2 linked regions of the Oryzias latipes genome follow. The protein of the gene in region 2 interacts with the protein of the main gene of each other region in a biochemical or structural test. Links are inferred from orthologs where the notes say so. Each region holds a gene or a part of one and is shown on either strand. Other genes may lie near its edges.

Region 1 (4,247 bases), on a different chromosome or scaffold from region 2:
GCGTATCTAACTGAGCATTTCTTTTTGACAACCATATAATGATTTGCTTGGAGTCTTATGATGTTATTCTCTCACAGGAGGTGTGTTTTCCCTTGAAACTGCAGGATGTGTTTAAAAATATGGGCTTTTTTCTTGAAGCTGTTCTATTTGAGCTGTGACATTTCACAGTAATCTAAATTGAAATTGCCTTCAGCTGATCATCACTGTCATAGATGTTTAAGTTAACCTTCATTTGCTGACATGTCCAAAGATATTAAAATCAGCGTTGCTGTCCAAATAATGCTATTGTGAGCAGAATGGAACATCTCCAAAGGATTGCTCTGCAAGTGCATGCTCAGACCTCTCGTGTCCTCTAATTACAGCCATAGTTTATATGTCTTAGAGCTTTTTTTCATCCTGTTTGGACGTATCAGTGCGCTGTTATCAACCTTCCATTCATCCACAGGCCCTGGCGGGCTGCACCCTCCTGTTTGTGTGCAGCTGGACCCTTTCATTATTTACACTTCAAATGATAATGACATCATGTGTGCACAGCTGCACTATTTGCATGCACATGCAGCTGAATTTGTGTGACAAAATGATTCAGCTAGAAGAAGAAAGAAAGAAAGAAAGAAAACCTCTTTCTGTGTTCGCATGTTAGCGATATTCAGATGTGGAGGCTGGTTCAGTGAACAGAACCACAACAACTGCTGGGATTTCTGTGTCTGAGGAGAATTCTTACTTCACCACAGGATTTCAAAGGCTGGTGATGGAAGATGGTTGGCTTTTTTTTTGGGCTTATATTGAAAGAGTAAATGACTTTATTTCATCTGAACATACTAAATACAACACAACAGGTACACTTACAATCATGACAGTGAAAGAACTTCTCTGAAAGGGTAAATTTGGTCCGACAAGCATAGAAAGGACACTGAATACTAACTGAAGCTCATCTCAGTTCACAGCAGAGTCAGATATGAAGGAAAACACTGAGCTTTGAAATGAAGATCATGTTAATGTGGTGGTTTGGATGAAAGTCAATTCAAATTAGGCTCACTTTCTTTAGCCTTTTCCTCCACATCATCTAGAGTGGAAAACCCAAATCTAATTTAGGAATATTTTTATTTATTCTATTGTTTCTCCTGCTAGATTGTGATGTTTATATTTACACAATAAGCCCCCCTTTTGGTTATTCTCTGCAGAATACATATTCAGTGTAGCTTGTCCATATTTTGTCCTCGTTTGGATCGTTGCTGGTGTAGGCGCAGGTGCCTGTGGAGCTGCAGGCCACCATGTGGAAGCCCGCTTCTGTCAGCTTGTCAAACGCCTGCTCTAAGAAATTATACTTCAGGTAGTAGCGGGATGTGTATCTCTCCGGGGGCCTGTCAGGGTCCCTGCTCTCGTTCAGCGTCTCTCCAAACACTTCTTTGGCCAGAGAGGTCTTCCCGCACACGGTGATGCGCGCCACTCTCCGGAATTTGGCGTCAGTCTGGATGTCTCTGCCAATGGTGTACGACCCTCGGTATCCTATCGTGATGTAGCCGGATTTTCTGGAGTCCAGGGACGGGGAGCGCATGGCTCCGCTGACGGACGCGGCGCGTAAAGTGTCGATGCCCCCGGAGGTGGAGCAGCACTGCAGCCCGCCGTCCTCCGTGTCGCTCTGGTTGATGATCTCCTCGCAGATGGAGTTGTCCTTACTCACCCGCGGGCTGAGGCGCTTCGCCAGGTCTCGCAGCTGGAAAAAGTCCGCCTCCCTCTGGAGCCGACTTTTCTCCGGGAAGTAGTCCGGGAGTACCAAGTTCAAGTCCCGGAGGTAGTCGAGGATGTAGCGGAACAAGAAGCCATCCCTGTCCAGAAAGAAGCGCCCCTTGCTGTCTCTCGCCAGCTCCTTGGGTGACTTCTTGCTGAACATGTTCCACAGGAGTGAATCTGGGACTGCGACGAGAGTTTTGTGTCTGGTCACATAGACCTGACCGCCGACGTTCAGCTCGATGATCTCTGAAAACGCGGCGCTTGGATCCCCGCAGCTGGACGCTGTGCGCTCCGTGTCGGCCAGTGCCATGGTCTGCGCGCCACGGACGGATGATTCGATGGAAACGCGGCGATGCAGACTGGTGGCGGCTTATGAAGTCCACGACGTGCGTGTGGGCGCGTGCACACGAGTGATGCCAAATCATTTAACCACTGAGTGGCTGTTTTGCAACGTGCGTCTTTGCAGCGCCCACCCCTCCATGCCACTCAAGATAAAGAGTAAATCTGTGGGAGAGGGGGAGGAGGAGGGGGCGCATTTTTCTATCTCCATCCGTATGTCATCCCATTCAGCAGTTCTGCACAGAATCCCACATTCTGATGGGATTACGGAAGACCTGACACCAGAGTCCATGAGCTGATTCCAGCTGATTCCTCACACGTGTAGGGAAAAAGTGACCCCCTTTGGCGTGAGGGGGAAGTGCAGCCCTGTTTGGCTCTGTTGTCCATTGCTGCGTGTCCAAGGCATGATCCAGGGCCAATCTTGGGCCCCCCAGTGTTTGGTCTCATTTTATTCTGCCTTTCATGTTTCAGTTTTTAAAACCCCTTTGGTTGTATGTAATTTACTGTTATTATTGTCGCTGCAGTGGCCGAAGCTAAAAACTTGGCAGGAGTTCAGAATGTGCAACGGCAGTCTGCTTAAATTGATGGACAGAATTTCCTTCCATTTTAAAATGGAAAAAAAAAAGGCACATTACAGAATGACATCGTTAAAAAGTTCGCTGAAGATTATTGCAAAAATTCTGAAAAAATAGGTGTAAAAAAAATAACAACATCAGTTTCAGAAAAATACCAAACTCGAGAAATGCATAATGTTAAAATAGTTCAGACACCAATCAGGTCCACAATCAATTCAATTCAATTTGATTTGTATAGCCCAAATTCACAACAACAGTCGTCTCGATAGGCTTCACATCCAGTTTTGTCCTAAATGTTGTTCTTCACGTTTTGGCATTTCCCTACTAGAGTCGCCACAGTGAATCAGCTTTCACTGATTGGTTACCAGGTGGTTTGGCAGAGATATTTATTTTTATTTAACTTTTATTTAACCAGGAAAGTCCCGTTGAGATTAAAAACCTCTTTTTCAAGGGAGTCCTGGGCTGTGTCCGAATTACCGCCCTAACCCCTATATAGTGCACTATATAGTGCGGTCGCCATTTTGTAGTGCTGTCCGAATCTACAGTTCAAAAATCATGTGCACTAGAAATTTCCCAGAATTCTCTACGAAAAACCAGTGTGGATCGATGCTCACTCGATCGGCGAATATTGCCCAGAATGCACTGCATTCATACCAGAATTCATTGCGTGTCCCACAATACACTGCGCTTGAATTATTCGAAGATGGCGGACGGTTGCGCAAGAAAGAGGACTTAAAAATGTAAGTACATTTAAAAGTATCAAGTATCTGTTGTAAAATATATTTGTAAATACGTAAGATGATGTGTTTACTATGTTATATTCCTCAATCGACTATCTACATTGTTTTGAAGCTCTTCAATTTCGGTAATGCTAACGCTAGCGCGAATTAGCGCCGAATGCTAAAAACAAACGCTGTTGATATTACATAAATAAATGAGTGAGTTCTAACCATAGTAATAAGTTATTAACACATTTTTCAAATGTGTTTATATATGTAGGGACTGACGAGGATAAGGAAAATCTGTTCCATCTGTGGATGGCCTGTTTGTTATCAGGCAAGCTCGTGCCGGATGGGAGTAAGACACACTTATCAGATTTGTATTTATTTATCATTAAACTGTAATCGTTGTCATGTTGGGGTAAAGGTTGTTGTTGAAAGAGGAGAGGAGGAAAGAGCACGAAGGGACAAAGAGTGACAGGAGAGTCTGTTAAGCTTACCTGAGTTTAAAATATTGTTCACAAAATGTAACGTCGTCGTTGTTTTTGCAATTTGTTTAATAAATGCAGTAACAAAAATGAATTATTTACATGTATTATTTAAATCTGAGCCATTTTTAACAATCTCAAAAGAATTTTCATATAAATATCAAATGTACATATTTACATTTTCGTTTTATATGTTAACATTTATTTTTATACATCTTAACAATAATACTGGTCTTCTAGAGTCATGTGTGTCACAGTTGGAGCTGAAAGGAAAGCAGAGATTTGTCCTCGCAGACGGACGCCACTTTACCCGTCCTACTGGTTCCTGCTGTGGCTCAACATTTGTGGCTCCAAGCAGTCCCCTTCGCTGATGCCTGATTGTGCAGAACTGAACT
Region 2 (3,826 bases):
GACCACTTTGCTGGGAACACTTTTTCAGTGTTAATGATCTTCTTAGCCAATCACAGGGTGGCAGTTGAAAGCATGTCGTCACGCAGACGTGGTCATGATGACCTGAGCATTGGAATGACAGAGTGAAGAGACTTTCATAAATTGCTGAAACTGCTGGAATTTTCTCCTGGTGAAAATGACATTTTAGTCATAGAGTGCCAGGAGTTACATAAAAACTTCAGTTGATCCTTTTCCTATTGTGATAATCAGCATGAATTTTAGCCTAAAAATGTTTTTACACCAGGCTGTTGGGTATAGTTTATTTCTTGGATCACCTAATTCATTTAACAGGTGAAAAAGCTCTTTTGGACCTTTTGACGGCTGTGTGCCTCTGTGTTTGGCAATTTTGGAAAGTTGGGTTACATTGATAATCCACCTCATATAGCAACTGCCTGGAACGAGTCAATTCTGGTCCTCTTGAAATCAAGTATTCAGATTTTCTTGTAAGCTAACTCTGGTGGCGTTTTTGTCAGGGATAATGCTTGACAAGGTGTCCCTTTTCAAAATGAGGAAGTAATGGAGGAACGATGAAGAAGCGTAAACTGTTCGACACAAAGTATAGGCCACCTGCGTGTTCCCCCTACAGGTTGTTACCAACTGTAACGGCAGTTGTGATTCAAGCTACGCACTGGGAAGGTGATGCATGCTCAAGAAGACACTAAATGGGCATTCTTAAACACGGTTTTAGCGCTTGGTTTACACATTGGACTGTCTCTATCAAATACTGGCACATGTACATGTACTTGGAAGTTGGAAGGCGTGCGCAAACGGCAATTATTATTTCTCTGCCATGATCAATTTTCTGTCGGTTGGTGCTTCTGTGTTGTAACCCTTGTGCTATCCTAGGCACTTTAACGTTGGGAGTTGGGTCATCTAGACCCACTAGACAGTGCTCTGAACCTTTTTTCTACAATGATTTGTGATCTTCACTGGTGTCCATGGATTACATGAAATCTTTCCACCTTTATCCACCTTTGTCATGGTAGGGAGAACACGTCAATGTAAGGGTGGGGTCATCTAAGATAGCACAAGGGTTAAAAAGGACACTACCTATAAGTCACAGATAAAGCGGAGTCCCTGATTGGTCAAAGTTCAACTGGTTTTCCTTTTAGGGCACAGTCAATGGCCAGGTACAGCCCAGAAAATGATTTCAAAAGCTTGCAGAAGCCCCAAAAACACATTTACATAGACTTACATAAACTAACATAGTCTTTTTATTGCAAGTGGTCGCTTGAATGTGCATTTCTGAACCCGGGTGAATCTGGCATAAGGCTTGAGGATCAAATCGACAACACAAATTGTGCTGTGTGTGTGGTGTATAGGCCATTAGTGTAAAATGCTAGTTAAATAGACCACTACACATCTTACAGGTGGTGTTACATGTACTTGTTGCGCGTACCTGGTGTAACCTAAAAACCTAATGTCTATTTAATCTTAATTTCTGTTTATTTCAAGACCCTAAATAGAAAAAGGTTTGGGGTTGTGGAATTGTTTCACAACATGATAGACAAGATCAGACAAGTAGGTTCATTCTTGAACACACCCCCAAACCAAAATGTGAACAATTTTAGCTTTTTTTCCACAATTAAATCCTGTTTGCTAAACTTTCATGTATAAAGTACCTTCAGACAGCAGGTCCTAATGCCTTTGTCCACTCACCATTAAATTAGTTTCTGTGTTGAGTTTTCATGTTCTCCTCATGCATGTGGGGTTTTCCTCCCACAGCCCAAAAAACATACTCGACAGGTTATTTTGTGATTCTGAAAGTGCCACTTAGGTGTGAGTGAATGTGGTGGTCTGTCTCTGTGTGGCCCCGTGATAAACTGGCAAACAAGGTGGATCCCTGCTGGGATAGTCTCTAGATACCCTGGAAGAGGGAAAAACGGGTTTGGAAAATGGATAGATTGATGGATATTTGAATCAGTGTGGACGGTGTCAGTAAATTCTGACACAGAATCCACAATGCTATCACTTCATTGAATTTAGCTGAGCTAACTTGCAATGTCAAGATCTACAGCCGGTGTGCTAGATCACTTGTGCTTGGTATTTTTTTTTAACATGTTTTAAATTCTGCTACTCAAATGTAATTAAGATCAATTATCCATCCATATTTAGAACCAACTAAATCCCATTTGGAGTTGCTGGAGCAAACACAGCTCCTTTTGGGCGAAGGTTACAAACCCTGAACAGGTCACCGGGCTGTTGCAGGGCTAAAATAAGTGATTTAAAAAGTAATTAAAATAGAACTTTCAAAATGCTTCTGACTCAACTTGAATTTATACTAGATTATGCATTATTCAGAGTAAAAACAGCACTGGAATAGTTCAACCAAATGTCCAGTTGGGGAAAGGAGCACTGATATCACAGAATAGGACCAACAAGACTTGACAAATCTGGGACAAGTGTGGCACTAAAAAGGGAACACCTTAAAAATACTCCAAAGGATGATCAGCGTGGGACTTTAACCCCGTGCTATCTTGTGGGGTCCAGATGACCCCACCCTTACATTGACATGTTATCCCTACCATGACAAAGGTGGATAAAGGTGAAAAGGATTTCATGTAATCCATGGACACCAGTGAAGATCACAAATCATTGAAGAAAAAAGGTTCAGCGCCAATCCCAACGCCACCGTGCCTCCAAGGCACGTTAACGTTGGGAGTGGGATCATCTGGACCCCACAAGACAGCACAAGGGTTAAAACAAAAGGCATGCTTCCTTCCTTGGGTGTCCATAAAAGCAGAGAAACAAAGTACAACAGGGTTTCTGACAGATTAACCCATTATTAAACATCCTCCCTTGCAGATGGAGAGAAGTCGATATTGAAGAACCACCTGGAGCAGAAACCACAAGCCCAGTGGGGCTCCATGGATCCTTCTCGAATCAACAGAGGTCCCCTGGAGGATATCAACTCGCCCGAACAGTGAGATCTCCCATTTTTTTAGCACTATACTCCTCCCATCTTGTTTTTTTTATTCTTCTGTTCTGCCAGCTTTTTTTTTTTAATCAGAAGTCACAGAACATGCAGCACAACCATGAGCAGCTCTCAGGCGGTTGCTCTGGCAACAGATCCATGTGAAACAAAGACTTGTACTTCGCTCTCCCACATCCATCAACATACTCATATCCATAATAGTATGTATGTGGGCTACATTCTTAAAATAATGCAGTTTATTCTAACACACAAGAACACATAGACATCGCTGATTTGATTTCCCATCTTCAAACGACAGATATCTTGGACAATTAAAACAGCCAATGTCCATGCCACTTTACTCATCATTCAAAAAGATCTAACATCAAAGGGTGGTGGTGGTGGTGGTGGGGGGGGGGTCATTCATTTTTGAGACGTCGGCATTGGTTTTAGCTTAAAGCTAAATGAATTAAGGACAGCTGACAAAGAAGATGCAGTAGTTGGAGTGAAGAAGATACTGGAATAAGATGGAATAAGACAGAAGCTGTTTAGACCAAAAAGTGAGGAGGAAGAACCTCACAGAGGCTTATGTAACCAGTGATTTACAGCTTGCATTGGGAAGCAGCTCTGAAAATAGACAGGGAGGAGAAAAGAAGTAAAGCAACACTCAGAGCTATTCCCATGGCACATGAATGTTTGATCACATGCAGGGAAGAGGTAGCAGGAGAGAAGGTAAAAAGGACCAAGAGACAAATATAAAGACCTCAGAAAAGAGTTATAAGTACTAGGAACTGGAGCCCAGTAAATGTATTTACCATTGTATCTTCAACATCATCCTCTAAATGCACGTAAATATAGTGTGCTGCATCTGTG

What was found.
Region 1: the proteins of gabbr2 (region 2) and kctd12 form a complex in vitro, tested with the Homo sapiens proteins (2 studies listed by BioGRID). The link is inferred for Oryzias latipes from reciprocal best matches to the Homo sapiens genes GABBR2 and KCTD12.

The regions. Positions count from the first base shown.
Region 1 is NC_019879.2:8,397,984-8,402,230, forward strand, and holds kctd12 (BTB/POZ domain-containing protein KCTD12), read right to left. Parts: upstream 3,039-4,247; 5' UTR 2,042-3,038; coding exon 1,169-2,041; 3' UTR 783-1,168; downstream 1-782. UniProt on the Homo sapiens protein: Auxiliary subunit of GABA-B receptors that determine the pharmacology and kinetics of the receptor response. Increases agonist potency and markedly alter the G-protein signaling of the receptors by accelerating onset and promoting desensitization.
Region 2 is NC_019869.2:9,043,901-9,047,726, forward strand, and holds part of gabbr2 (gamma-aminobutyric acid type B receptor subunit 2), read left to right. Parts: intron 1-2,844; coding exon 2,845-2,962; intron 2,963-3,826. UniProt on the Homo sapiens protein: Component of a heterodimeric G-protein coupled receptor for GABA, formed by GABBR1 and GABBR2. Within the heterodimeric GABA receptor, only GABBR1 seems to bind agonists, while GABBR2 mediates coupling to G proteins.